Stegostoma tigrinum: one gene and its partner. The protein of the gene in region 1 purifies or fractionates together with the protein of each later gene. This does not show direct contact. Links are inferred from orthologs where the notes say so. Each region holds a gene or a part of one and is shown in the gene's direction. Other genes may lie near its edges. The genes, in order: clcn5b and tmem9.

Region 1 (7,943 bases):
TCTCCAAATCCCCCTCGTCAGAGGAGCTCTTATAGCCCACCTGTAGCTGCCTCTTCCCACCTGATGGTTGCGGTTCCTGGGCCCGCCGACGCACCTTCCTCCTTGCTTTCCGGACCATCGTCCACTCCCCTGTCCACTCGCCTGTCGCCACCTCCATCGACTCCGGGTTGTCGGGGGGGAGCGGAGCCTGCAGGGGCGCTTTGCTGGCCTCGGGCCCATCCTGCGGGGCTGGGCCCCCCTGCACAACCTGGCCCTCCTGCACATTAGTGGGGTCCTTGCAGGGCCCTGGTGCCTTCCTCTCCTCTGGGGGGTGCTGGCCCCGCATTGCCCTTGCCGGCGACCTGGGCGTAGGTGGTCCCCCGCTGCGGGCATGCCCTATAGAGGTGGCCTGCTTCCCCGCAAAGGTTGCAGCTTTTCTCTTGTGGGCAATCCTTTGCAAGGTGTCCCTCCTCCCTGCAGTTCCTGCAGATGGTGGCTTTGCAGTCGGCCGCCACGTGACCTGACCTACCACAGGCATGGCAGACTTTAGGTTGCCCTGCATAGGTCAGGTAGCCCTTGCTTCCGCCGATCACGAAGCTGGACGGTAGGTGTATGACGTTCCCGTCCGCGCCCATCCTCAGCATCATCTTGACCTGCCTCTTACTGGTCCAGATGCCAAAGGGGTCCATGATGTGAGTTAGGTCCCCTTCCACCTCCACGTACCTTCCAAGGAAGGTCAGGACATCAACTGCTGGCACATGCGGGTTGTACATGTGTACAGTCACCATACGGCTCCTCTGCGCTGGCATCACGAACAGCGGGACAGCGGTCAATATAGAGAGGGGGCCCTCACCTCCTTTCTCCTTGAAAACCTCCAGGAAGCACTCGCAAAGCTTGGCACTCCTGAAGGTCACGTCGTAAAAACCTCCTCCGGGGAAATCCTGCAGGCAGTAAATGTCCGCAGTAGCGAACCCACAACAGTCCAACAGGACCCTCTTCACAAAGAAGGTGCGGTCCACAGGTGCACCTTCATCGACCTTCTTCACGGAAACACGGATGGTGTTCCGGTCCCCCTGACCTGGGGCACAAGCACTTGCCGCAGCCATCGTTGCAGGTTGGCTGCTCCCCTGAACCAGCATTAGGCCGAAGCTAGCATTAAGATCCACTGGTTGCAAGGGTGCACAGCCAACCCGACGTCTTCCTTTCACCTCCAACACAGCGCTCACCTCCTCTCGGTCCACAAGAGAGTGGGTCTTTATTTTGTTCCAGATGTAAGCTGGTTCACTGAGCTTGAAGGTGTGTTCCCAGATGTTTTGTCACCATTCTAGGTAACATCAACAGTGAGCCTCCGACAAAGCGCTGGTGTTATGTCCTAATTTCTATTTATCTGGTTAGGTTTCCTTGGGTTGGTGATGTCATTTCCTGTTCTTTTTCTCAGGGGATGGTAGATTGGCTCCAAATCAATGTGTTTGTTGATGGAGTTCCGGTTGGAATGCCATGCTTCTAGGAATTCCCATGCGTGTCTCTGTTTGGCTTGTCCTAGGATGGATGTGTTGACCCAATCAAAGTGGTGTCCTTCCTCATCTGTATGTAAGGATACTAGTGATAGTGGGTCATGTCGTTTTGTGGCTAGTTGATGTTCATGTATTCTGGTGGCTAGCTTTCTGCCAGTTTGTCCAATGTAATGTTTGTCACAGTTCTTGCAAGGTATTTTGTAGATGATGTTCGTTTTGCTTGGGAGGAGGGAAGTGTACGACGATAACAGGCATTAGAAAGGTAGGCAGGTGTAGGTACACGTAAATGGTTTGGGTGGGAACCTGAGAAAGTATGAAGCCTGTGGAGTTAATTCAGTGAGTTAACAGGAAACAAATGTGGATGTTTGGGGGCCCACGGAAATGTTCAGCTGGAAACCACTGGAATAGGACAGCTTACTGTCACCTTCCATCAAGATGTAAATGGAAAGTGTACAATGGGAAAGAAAATGGCTGTGAACACACACAGAGTTGGTGAGGTAAGTAACTCAACCAATGAGGGAGTGCACTGCAGCAATCACCAATCGTAGGGCTCCCAAAGTTAAATCCCATGCAATGTACAGCACACAGGCTGTCTACAATCTGGCCATCCAGAAGCAGTGATCTGTCTCTGCATTTTGCACCCTTTGGCACAACCGCTATTGTACAACTTATTAACAGCTACATCTTTGAGCCAAGATCTAAAGATGTTCAAAGGGGAGGGTGAATGGTGTTCAACATGTATACATTGTCTGCCCCACCTCCCACATTTAGATAGTGCACTGCATTTTCATCACAGATCATTATCCATTGAGCCTCATCTGTGGCCACGAGTGCTGCCAGAATGTGTGCAAAGGCTTTTAACCCCAATGCAGACTGACTTATAGTTAAAACCAGGAACTTTTATGCCATACAAGCCTTTTCCACCCACGCCGCCAAACAGTGCTCAATACATTTCCTTCTCTTTCCTGTGGTCTATCATAGTCCACTAATCGTGGTCCACTTCCTGGTCCTGTAGTGGGATAGTAGAAGCATGACAGTTGAGCCCATGGAGGGGCTGGACGAGTGGAGGAAGAGGACTCGGCCACCTCTGCACTGTCCTGAGTGGAACATGCCAAAGATCCTGTGTGGTTCTGCCTTAGGCTGATCTCAGGAGACACCTAACCAATCTCCTTGTGAGGTGGTAGCAGCTGCACTGGAGTCAAGGTTTCCTGTTTTGTAATGCTGCCACGAAGACTGTGGTCCAGAGGATGAATGGCTGGGCCAATGGAGCGCTGGTGTGTCCTCCTCTCCAAATGATCCTGCTGCTAATGGCTCGGTTCTTCAGGGCAGTTGCCAACCTATCCATGGAACAGCCAGATGTTGCATGAGTCATTGCACTACTGCAGCTTCTGGGCAATGAAGGCTATTGTGTTCCATAGGCATGTCTGTCCTGACAGCTGACACACAGGTCCTCTCTGCCTGCAGCTGAGTAGATGCCTGGTCTGCATCACCACCTGCAAATTTCCCTCCAATCCACATCCTCCAACCTGACTTCAAAATATATCTCCAAATATTATCATCCCTCCCTAGCAATATTGAGCATGCACCTGCACCACATGGACTGTAGCAGTTTAAGGTAGTTGAGCACCCTCTTCTCAAGAGCGATTAAGGATAGGCAATGAATGTGGATTGAGCCAATGGTGCCTTCATTCCATGAATGAATTTTAAAAGTTGCCATCATTTTGAACTGAGGTTTCAATAGCAGAAGCTATTGCTTGCATATCAAAAGACTTTAACAATTAAGGTTAGAGACTTTAATAAATGAAGGTTGGGTTTTGGTATTGCTAGTAGCTTAAACTTACATTTTGTGTAAATATGTGCATGAACAGGAATCAGGAAGTATACAAGTTTTATTTTTTGCTCTGCTTCCTCGACCCACATGCAAGAAATGTTGGCATGAACAAGTTGAATTCAAGGATCTGTTTTGTACTGTATGACTCTATGACCTCCATCTCCACTACCTACTGAGGCAGAGAGTTTCAAAGTTGTGCACCCTCAGAGAGAAAAATATATCCCTCTCCCCTGTCCGAAAATGGCAAACCTTAACTTTAAAAGTGTCACCTGGACTCATCCACCAGAGTAAATATCTATTCCACGTCCATCATGTCTAGACCATTTAAGGTCTTATCAATTTCAATCAAATCTAGTGAAAACAAGCCCAACCCCTCTTTTTTTAATAAAACATCCCATTCATCACAAGTATCAATCGACTTTTGAATAAAATACACTAGACTGCTTTTTTTGATGTGTCTGCTGAGGCAATTCTAGAGGAGAGGGTAAACATTTGACTCGAATGAGGGTCTCTACAACATATTCTGATCTCCGTATGCTTTTCCCAGAGCACCCCTGCAGCAAGGGCTACCTGGTCGGCAGTGACTTAATAGGACAATTATCCTTATTGTGGAATTGAATTACAATTTTCTTTTGGTTAACAGGCCCATTGAAATGGAGGGATGATGTTTCACCGTCTGAGTTGTGATCCACATGAGGCGTTTCATTAAGGCCTTGATATATTATAGTGTTCCTGGTCAGAACATAGATATTTTTATTTTGAGATTTTGGACTGAAATTAAGAAAACTGGACACTGCTTTGAAAAGCGGAGAATGAAGAAAGAGTTGTTTGAAACTTGGAAAAACAAATGAAACTAATGAACGTGTGAGAGTGGACAGAATCCTACATAAACCCCTAAATGACATACAGTATAGCATGAAATCACGAAGAATTGTATGAGGCACCAAATGAGGTCTTTCTTCGCGTTAGGAGCACATCGCAAAGGAGTTCCAGAGGTTGAAGTGGGATTCTCGTTAGGGAGCATTTTTTTTCCAGCTTTGGCAGAAATGGGGAAATTAGCACCCCACCTTAGAGGCAAGCACTGAGATATCCATAGGATAAGTGTAGTTTAGTGTAAAGGCAGGGCATCCACTATCCCGGGAAGGGTATCATAGTCTCCAAAACCAGATCCTGCCAATTGTCTTCTTACCAAGCATGTCCAAAAGGAGCATATCGTATTAGCTCTGTAGATCGCCAATGAAAATATCCTATTAAGATGTACAATTAACTGTTTAGATATCACATCTTCCCCCTTTCTACGTCCAGTCGCTTTGACACTATTCTTGATAAAATATCATTTTATAATCGCAAGTATTTCGAAAGGAAATGTAAACGAATAAAATACTGGATGTCGAACTCGAAAGTTGAAGGAAACGAATGCAAATATATCTCTGCCTTTTTACCCATCTGTTCAGCCCCTTTCTCGCTGAGATCAGTGTGAGCTACTGCCCTCGATGGACTAGGCCCGGTTTCCATGGTGACTGCATGGCCCCGCTATCACTTCCGGGGGTGTTGGTGAGGAGGTCGCAGTGGAGGTTGTGATGTGTCGGAACTTTAACGGTGTGGGTTCCAGGCCGGCCCTGTCCTGCCCTCTTGGCCTCTGGTATGTTGCTGCTGCCGCTGCCGCTGCCGAGGACAACGCTGGTCTAATCACGGGATAGAGCTGGGGGAGGGGCACAGGGACCAGCGCAGGGTTCCAGCTGTCAGGTCGGTGACTCACTCGTCTCTTTCCAGTCACTTCCTCTTCGGTCCATCTCCTGTAAATTTCATCTTGTTTTCACGAGTTTATCTCCAGTGGGACGCCCTGAGCTCGGTACTTCATTTGATCAGTTACATCCGTGATGCCTGTAACAGGGTTTGTTTCCGTTGCATACAAACATTAGCGTATTGAAGTGTTGCAGTTTCTCCCCCTTCTACCGAATACCTTCTCTCGACTTTCAGAATTACTCCTTCACCCAAAACCAGATCTCGTATCAAATATTCCCAAACAGATCAAACAGATGTGAGTTTATCCAGCCAGCGAAGTAATTTGGCAGGGATTTGTCACATGATATTTAATAATGTTAATGGACGATTTGTTTACTGATAAGATTGTGTTCTTGAAGGCAGTGACTCTGTATGTTTAGTCTCTAGTAACGTTTATGTGGGGATTACGGGATCACTTTGTTCCAAGCTATTTCTCAATAATTTCACAGTGGCTTTGCTATATATTCGTAAACTCATTTTAGGTTTGAGAATTGCTAAGACAAGTACTTCTACCTGGTTCTGAGTACTTTGAGTCAAATCTGAATAATGCGTTTGATTTTCTTGGTGAGTGCAAGGTTGACTGAAAAGCTGAGATCTTGCACTACTGTATTTATGTTAAGAAATGAAACATTAGTTTATTGCTCTTGATTTAGACATCTCATTTAGGAAAATATTGTAAAATTAATAGGTGTCAATTTTTTGGTTTTGATTTTCAGGCTGGATTCTATAATTTTCTGATGCAATGTTGTCGCATATACTGCATTTTTATCTTAACAAGTAAAGATTAAAGAGCCATACAGCACAGAAACAGACCGTTTGGTCAAACCAGACCATGCCGACCATAATCTCAAACTAAACCAGGCCCATGTCCTTCCAAACATTTCTTATTCGTGCACTTGTCTAAATGTCTTTTAAATATAACTGTACCCACATCCACCACATCCTCTGGAAGTTCATTCCATACACAAACCACTCTTTTAATAAAAAATGCCCCTCGTGTCTTTTTTAACTCTTTCTCCTCTCACCTTAGAAATATGCCCCTTGATCTTGAAATCCCCTACCCCAGGGAAAAGATACTTGCCATTCACCTTACTTTATCCCTCCTAATTTTATAAATCTCTATAAGGTCACCCCTCAACCTCCTACCTCTGAGTGAATAAAGTCCCAGCCTATTCCAACTTCCCTTTATAATACAAACCCGCCATTCCCAGTAACATCCTGGTAAATCTCTTGTGAACCCTCTCTAGCATTATAATATACTTCCTATAACAGGGTAATGAGAACTGGACATGGTATGCTAGAAGACACTTCACCAATTTCCTTTACAACCTCAACATAATGTCACTCAGAGGCCTGAGCAATGATGGCAAGCCTGCTAAATGCCTTCTCAACCACCCTATCTACATGTGTTGCAAACTTAAAAGAATTATGTACCTGAATCCTGTCTGTTCGACAACACTCCTCAAGGCCTTCCTTTTGATTGTGTAATTGCTGTCCTTGTTTGTTCTACTAAAATGCAATATCTTACATTTATCCAGATTAAACTCCATCTGCCAGTCTTCAGCCCATTGACCTAACTAATCAAGATCTCTTTGTAATCTTAGTCTTCTTCACTGTTGACCAAGCCACCAGTTTTGGAGTCATCTGCAAACTTACTAACTATGCCTTCTATATTCTCATGTAAATCATTTATATAAATGACGAACAAAAGTGTACCCCGTACTGATCACTGTGGAATGCTACTGGTCACAGACCTCCAGCCTGAAAAGTGACCCTCCACTGTCACTCTGTCTTCTGCTGTTAAGCTATTTTTGTATCCAATTGGCAAGCTCACCCTGAATCCTGTGCCATCTAACTTTAGTAATTAGTCTATCAGGTGGAACCTTGTCAATGGCTTTACTAGAGTCCAAGTAAGCAATGTCTACCACTCGACACATATCAATCTTCTTGGCTACTTGCTCAAAAAACTCAATTAATTTGTGAGACTCTACTTCCCTCATTTAAAAAAAAAGTGCAGATTGACTATCCCTAATTGTACCTTACTCTCCAAAATATATATAAATCCTAAATTTCAGAATCACTTTCAACAACTTACCCACCACCAAAGTCAGACTCACCGGTCTATAGTTCCCAGTCTTCCCCTTACAGCCCTTCTTAAACAAAGGCACAACATTAGCCCCTCTCCAGTCATCTGGCATTCCACCCATAGTTATAGATGATACTAATATTTTTGCGAGGGGAGCTTCCCACAGTGACCCAGGATACACTCGATCAAGTACTGGAGATTTATCCACCTTTTATATTTTCTAAGATCTCCAGCCCTTCCTCTCCTGTCACCATGTGAACTGTTTTCAAAACTTCAATATTTATTTCCCTCAATTCTCTAGCCTCTGTTTCTTTCTCCATAATAAAAGCTGATGCAAAATAATCATTTAATATTACCTTATTTTCCAAGGCTATCTCATATCCTCTATTTGCTGACCTGATCCCCCTCTTAAGAATGCCTGTAGTCCCTTTATACTCTTCAAGAGATTCATTTGAACCTTGTTGTCTACGTCTAAGATTCTTGACTGGAACCTCAATATCTTTATTCACCTGTTGTTCTCTCATCCTTTGGGTCTTACCTTTCACTCTGACTAGAACACAATGACTTTGAACTCTTTTGCCTCCCTGTTATCAGACTTTCCTTTACCTGCGAACAGTATGCTCCATTCAATTTTTGAAAATTCTTGTCTCCTACAATTAAAATCTGCCTTACTCCAATTAAAGACTTGAATTTGTATGGAAGGTTTTTCTTTTCCATTACTATTTTAAAACACATGGAATAATAATCA
Region 2 (7,338 bases), on another chromosome or scaffold:
GTGTGTGTGGAAACACTGTCCTTATACTCACATGCCATCTACTGTTCAACTGCAGTGTTGTCCAACACACAAACCTCACTGCACGGTGAGGAATACTGATTTCCTCATGCCAATACGGAGCTCCAGCTGGCTAATATAACTAACATGGGCTCCCTTTTTCATATTCATCAAGGCAAGTGACCTTGAACTGGAAAGTTTCATTTCAGCAATCAGTGTTGGCCACAGAGGTGACCACCATAATAAGCTGTATTTTTATGCAAGAACCAAGCCAAGAAAAGGTTGAAAGAGTTTGCATTTATAGAGCACCTGACATGACATTAGGATATCTTTATGGCCAATGAACTGCTTCTGGAAAATTTTGAAAACATGACAACTATTTTGACACATCAAGCTCACATAATTAGCAATGTGGTGATGGTCAGACAATCTGGTTCCAATGATGCTATGAGGCTCCTAATTGCTCACATAATCAAAACAGAACTTGCTGGAAAAGCTCAGCGGGTCTAGCAGCATCTGTGGACAGAAATCAGAGTTAACGTTTCAGGTCTAGTGACGCTTCTTCAGGATTCATTTCTCAGGAAGGGTCACTGGACCTGAAACGTTAACTCTGATTTCTGCCCACAGATGCTGCCAGACCTGCTGCGCTTTTCCAGCAGTTTCTATTTGAGTGACCGACAATGTTCCTAGGTCACCAGTGGACTAATTTTTCTGTTATTTGTATATTTTAGTGAACACCAATTTCACCATCTTCCAGAGTAGGATTCCAGCCCATACCCCAAAGAATAAGCCTAATGATCTGGATTTCTGGTTCAATGATATTACCACTATTCCACCAACTTGCCAGCATACACCCTATGATCTTGCCAATGCGCAGTGCTTCCTTCGAGTCTTGTTCAACATGGAAAAATGCTGTTTCATCATTTGACAGGAAGAAGATGAGGGTATTGACAGTAGGTTTGCAACCAGCAGGATTATCTAACGTGATGCCATGAGATTTCATGGGCAGCAGAGTGAAAGTTGGGGATTTTCAGGGCAATTGCTTCCGAACTCTATACCACTATTCTGCCATTTCCACGGGTCTGTACTGTCAGTGGATAGCACATACACAGGGATGGTGATGGTGGTGTCTATGATATTGTCTGTAAGGTATTATTCCATGAGTATAACTATGTCAGGCTGTTGATTGATTAGTCTGTGGGACAGTTCTCCCAATTTTGGCATGAGTCCCCATATGATAATAAGGAGGTCTTTGCAGGGCCGACAAGATGTTTCTGCTGTTTAGCTTCTGATTTCCATCATCTGCAGTTCTTTCGGTTTTTGTTTCGGTTTCTGCCGTTGTCTTTTCTGGCGATGAAAAGATGGCAGCCATATGCCACATTGAACAATTTGAGTGAGAGGGAACTGCAGACAAACATCAAGGGAGTAGATGATTCACAGAGCATGAGAATGAAAAATAGAGAGGGTTCAGGAGGGAATTCTCCACAGCATGGGATATCATTCACTGAAGATACCAGTTTTTAATAGTTATCAGTTATCTTCCTTACAGTAAGATGCTGGCGAAGTAAGATACACCAGCTGGAGCTCATCCGCTCCGCACAATTTTTTTCTACCTCTTTTCCTCCCTTCTGTGGTTTTTCTTCTTGACTTCTGTCTTTTTGCACCCTCAGCCTTGGACACCCGGCCTCCAAAGCAGGTTCGGATGCCCCGAGCAGGGGTATCAGCAACCAGCACCCAAGGTTGGCAGACTGGCAACCAGCGACCCAGAGCAGGGATGTCACCAACACAGTGTGGGAGCGAAAGTTGTGGCCCAGTGTGGGACATGACGCCTTCCCATGGTCAGACCCCTACACTGGCCTGCTGCGGAGAGCCCTTGGTAGGAGACAGTGATGTCTGTCTTTCTAACTTTGCTTCTTATTTTTCTGACCTATGGTTATCAATCAAAGAATAAAGAAAATTACAGCTCAGGAACAGGCCCTGCTGCCCTCCAAGTCTGTGCCGATCCAGATCCTCTACCTAAACCTGTCGCCTATTTTCCAAGAACAAAAACAAAGTTGCTGGAAACGCTCAGCAGGTCTGGCAGCATCTGTGGAAGACAAAACAGAGTTAACATTTCAGGTCCCATGACCCTTCCTCAGAACCTTTCCTCAGAGCCTATTTTCCAAGGATCTGTATCCCTCTGCTCCCTGCCCATTCATGTATCTGTCTAGATACATCTTAAATGACGCTATTATGCCTGCCTCTACCACCTCCGCTGGCAATGCATTCCAGGCACCCACCACCCTCTGTGTAAAGAACTTTCCACGCATATCTCCCCTAAACTTTTCCCCTCTCCCCTTGAAATCATGACCCCTAGTAATTGAGTGCCCCACTCTGGGAAAAAGCTTCTTGCTATCCACCCTGTCTATATGTCTCATGATTTTGTAAGATCTCAATCAGGTCCCCCCTCAACCTCCATCCTTCTAATGTAAATAATCCTAATCTACTCAACCCCTCTTCATACCTAGCGCCCTTCATACCAGGCAACATCCTGGTGAACCTCCTCTGTAAAGTATCCACATCCTTTAGGCGATGTGGCGACCAGAACTACACACAGTACTCCAAATGTGGCCGAACCAAAGTCCTATACAACTGCAACATGACCTGCCAACTCTTGTACTCAATACCCCGTCTGATGAATGAAAGCATGCCGTATGCCTTCTTGACCATTCTATTGACCTGCATTGCCACCTTCAGAGTACAATGGACCTGAACACCCAGATCTCTCTGTGCATCAATTTTCCCCAGGGATTTTCCATTTACTGTATAGTTCGCTCTTGAATTGGATCTTCCAAAATTCATCACCTTGCATTTGCCTGAATTGAACTCCATCTGTCATTTCTTCACCCAACTCTCCAATCTATCTATATTCTGCTGCATTCTCCGACAGTCCCCTTCATTATCTGCTACTTCACCAATCTTAGTGTTGTCTGCAAACTCCACCAATCTTGGTGTCATCTGCATTATACTGTGTATAGCTGCCACTTTTTTCTCCTTCATTTCTCTATTCTGTAACTAAGGGTTGTACCTAGGTATCTTTGTATCCAAGATAGCACCATGTATTGGTGCCATTGTTTTACTATAACTAATCTTGTAATTGAAAAATTTGCACCTAGTTACCCTTTGTACGTAAGGTGATGCTGTAAGTGGCAACTTATAAACTTTTCACTGTACCCATTTGAGTACGTGTGACAATAAAGCTAATTCAATTCAATTCAGTTCAGGTAAATGCATTATTATCAATGACACATAGGGAGCCAAAAGCTGCACAGGTGGAGTGCGCCAATCCAGCTGTAAGCATCATTGTGGAAGTTTACTTCAGGTGCAGATGCAGATGAAAGTGGGTAGTGAGTGGTATGGTTTTTCTGAAGAAGGGTCTCGACCCAAAACGTCAGCTTTCCTGCTCCTTTTTTTGCTGCTTGGCCTGCTGTGTTCATCCAGCTCTGCACGTCGTTATCTCAGTGAGTGGTAAGGAGATGGCTTTGCCTAGATCATGGAACAGAGGGGTCATGTGTGATGGCGAACATTTATGGAATTGCTGTGAATTGGTTAATATGGCAGTGGGGAAGGATAGATGGTTACTTTAAGCAACAGAGGGGTAATTTGAATTGAAATAGAAATGAAATTATTGTGATTAGATGAGGAATCACTGAGATAAAAATACAAGAATGAGAAGAATTTCTACGTGGCAATTCTCGGTTACACCAATGTGGCAAATGGCCCATAACTCAGTATAATTCTCAGCAAAAGATGTTTGAAATGTTGAAATCTGTGACACTTGGTCTTGGATAGCTGTTTCTTCCGGAAACTTCACACTTAAAAGAGCACCTTTTACTAGATTGGCCTTCTGTCAGTAAGTAATTTCCACCTCAGTTCTTGCTAGAATTTGGAAATATTGCTGACATATACAATACTTAGTCCATATTATCAACATGATAATTGGGAGTGCAAGAATTCTGAACATAAACACACTTTTCAAACGGAACAAAAGTTGTTTGCTTAAACCAAGTTGAGAATTTGCCCTTCCCGATGAAGACGGGGGTTAATCCTCAATCGGGCAGTTTCATTGACAGAAGTGGACTCAGATGGCCCTCTGGGCTTTGAAGTTTCACGGTTGAATACTGCCCAGTTTCGCAGGCACAGAACTACAGCTCCCATAAAGCACGGCGGCAGGAACCGTAACTGATAGACATCGTTAAAGCCCAATAATCGCGTGACTTTGTGTGGGGCGGGGAAAGGTTTCACCAATGGAGACAGGCTAAGGGCGGGATTTGATGCTTGGTGCTGCGTAGGGTTGAAGAGAGTTCAGGCTTGAGGTCGCCGACTGTTGAATCCTTGGGCCTGAGAGCGTCACTTTCTGTCTGTCCATCAGGAGAACATGGAGGGGAGTAAAGTCTTCATGATGTTGTGCCTGCTGATGCTGTTCGTGTTGTCTGAATCGTCCAAGGTAAGATGCTGGTGTCCAGGCCGCAGTCTCTGTCTCTGCCCTGAAGGTGTTGGAGAGAGAGAGGGGGGACTTATTCCACAGGTTCATGTAATGGGAATTAGTCTAAATAATATAGAAAAATTATGATATTTCATCCAATAGGGCCGTGAGCAAGGATCCTCCACTGTATCAGTACTAGGCTAGTGAAGGCTTTGAAATTCTACTTATATAAAGTGATGCAATTTATGTTGTAAATATGGTTACTTGTGTATATGTTATATCCCATATGGGTGAGTATCTGCCTACAAGGCTCAGCTGAAGTGGACATCCCTAAGTTTGATATGAAGGCAATCCAGAAGCTAATTTCAGAGTTTGCAAATGAACTGGAAAATACGACTTTGATCAGACCCAAATGGAGAACTCTGTCATCAAGCAACTTTGATGTTTGAGGATAACTGAGTTAAGTGTGTTCAGGACAGGTTCACGTGGCACAAAGCCCACGCCAGCATCTTATTCATAGAGTTATAAAGTTGTACGGCTCGGAAACAGACTCTGTCCAACTTGTCCGTGCTGACCAGATTATCCTAAATTATTCTAGTCTCGTTTGCCAGCATTTGACCCATATGCCCCGAACCCTTCCTATTTGTGTGTACATCCAGATGCCATTTAAATGTAATCAGATCAGCATAGCATCCACCACTTCCTGCAGCAGCTAATTCCATATACACCTCTGCATGAAAATGCTTCCCCTTAGGTCCCTTTTAGATCTTTCTTCTTTCACCTTAAACCTCTGCCCTCTAGTTTTGGACTCCCCTATCCTGGGAAAAAGACCTTGGGCTATTCATCTTATCCATGCCCCCCCCCCTCATGATTTTATAAACGTCTATAAGGTCACCCCTCAGCCTCCAACGCTCCAGGGAAAATAGCCCCAGCCCAATCAACCTCTCCCTAAAGCTCAAACCCTTCAAACCTGATTTCATCCTTGTTAATCTTTTCTGTACCTTTTCAAGTTTAACTCATCTCTCCTGTAGCAGGGAGACTAGAATTGAGCACGGTGTTCAAAAAGTGGCCTATCTAGTGTCCTGTACAGCTCCAACATGACATCTTAATTTGTATACTCAAATGCGCTGACAAATAAAGGCAAATGTACCAAACACCACCTTCACTATCTTGTCTACCTGCAACTCCGCCTTCAAGGAACTATGAACCTGCACTGCAAGGCCTCTCTGTTCAGCACTGCTCAACATGAACTTGCCTCAGGTCTGACGTCGCTGACTGTTGAAGCCTTGGGCCTGAGATCGTCACTTTCTGTCTGTCCATCAGGAGAACATGAAGGGGAGTAAACTCTTCATGATGCTGTGCCTGCTGATGCTGTTCGTATTGTCTGAATCGCCATGCTCTGGTTCGCCTTGCCAAAATGCAACACCTCACATTTATCTAAACTCCATCTGCCACTCCTCAGCTCATCAGTCCAAGGTCATGTTATACTCTAAGATAACCACCTTTGCTGTTCACCACACCAATTTTGGTCTCATCTACACTCTTACTAACCATATTCCCTGTATTCATGTCCAAATCATTTATATAAATGACAAAAATCATTGGCTTCACATGAAGGATTTGCGGACAGCACAGTGGCTCAGTGGTTAGCATTGTTGCATCACAGCACCAGGGATCTGTGTTCGATTCCACCCTTGGATATCTGCCTGTGTGGAGTTTACATGTTCTCCCTGTGTCTGCATGGGTTTCCTCTGGGTGCTCCTCCTAAATCCAAAATTGTGCAGATTAAGTGGATTGGCAATGCTAAATTGCCTATAGTGTCCAGGGATGTGCAGGATAGGTTGATTAGCCGTGGGAAATGATGGATTATAGGGATAGGATAGGGGGACAAGTCTGGATGGGATGCTGTTCAGAGGATCAGTGTGGATTCAATGGGCCAAATAGCCTGCTTCTACACTGTAGGGATTCCATGTTTTGTGGTCAGTTATGCAAATCAAGAATAGGCTGAATGATGATATTGCATGTGACAAACTACTTTCTTTGTTTATTTTTGCTGAAGTCTCATCCATCGAAGTGGTGGGAGAATCTTTTAAAAAAAACAACTATGCAGATGTTGTCTTGATTCATTTTGTAACACTGTTGCCTTAGACTCAAAGTTCCTCTCTCTAAGCCATGAATACAAAAATCAAGGCTGACATTCTGGTGCAGGACTGAGGGAATGCATAATTATTAGAGGTGCCTTACGTTAAACTGATTCCATTGCTGTTGAGGTGGATGCAGAAGATCCCATAGTACTGTTTGTGGAAGAGCAAGAGCATTAACATGGTGTCCTGGCCAATATTTGTTCCTCATTTAACATCACAGAAACAGATTGTCTGGTTATATTGACTTCTTTTTTTGGTGAGAGTTTGCAGAATGTGAATTGGCTGTCATTGTTATGTACATTACCACAGAGACTGCACTTCAAAAGTTGGGTATCAGATGTTTTTAGACAAAGTGTTCAAGAAAATGTTATACAATTGCATGTCTTTTTCTTTACAGTTTGTATTCTATTATATATACGTATGTATATAAAGCAAGATATCAACGGCTCAGATTTTTCAGTCATTGATAAAGTGAGATGCTGAATTACTGTCAAAAAACCATGCCCAGAAAATCTACCAGACTCTGTGCCACAAAGTTACTCTTTTCTGGCATTGTTTACGTTTTGCCACCAGCCACAGGCAATCTCTGTATTCCACTGGATTGATACCATATAGAAACTTAAGCAAATTGATGAATTTTCAGAGAGCAAACGAGGAAGTAACAAGAAATTTTTGCTGTGGAAAAGTGACACTTATCAAACACAAAATTAGTTTTTCATGGCCAGAGAGGTT

What was found.
Region 2: the proteins of clcn5b (region 1) and tmem9 purify together in Homo sapiens (co-immunoprecipitation; 3 studies listed by BioGRID and IntAct, with this or other methods). This does not show direct contact. The link is inferred for Stegostoma tigrinum from reciprocal best matches to the Homo sapiens genes CLCN5 and TMEM9.

What each region holds. Positions count from the first base shown.
Region 1 is NC_081368.1:43,902,895-43,910,837, forward strand, and holds the start of clcn5b (H(+)/Cl(-) exchange transporter 5), read left to right. Parts: upstream 1-4,840; 5' UTR 4,841-4,966; exon of another isoform or gene 4,967-5,176; intron 5,177-5,264; exon of another isoform or gene 5,265-5,365; intron 5,366-7,943. UniProt on the Homo sapiens protein: Proton-coupled chloride transporter. Functions as antiport system and exchanges chloride ions against protons. Important for normal acidification of the endosome lumen. May play an important role in renal tubular function.
Region 2 is NC_081374.1:43,003,867-43,011,204, forward strand, and holds the start of tmem9 (transmembrane protein 9), read left to right. Parts: upstream 1-4,311; 5' UTR 4,312-4,414; coding exon 4,415-4,483; intron 4,484-7,338. UniProt on the Homo sapiens protein: Transmembrane protein that binds to and facilitates the assembly of lysosomal proton-transporting V-type ATPase (v-ATPase), resulting in enhanced lysosomal acidification and trafficking.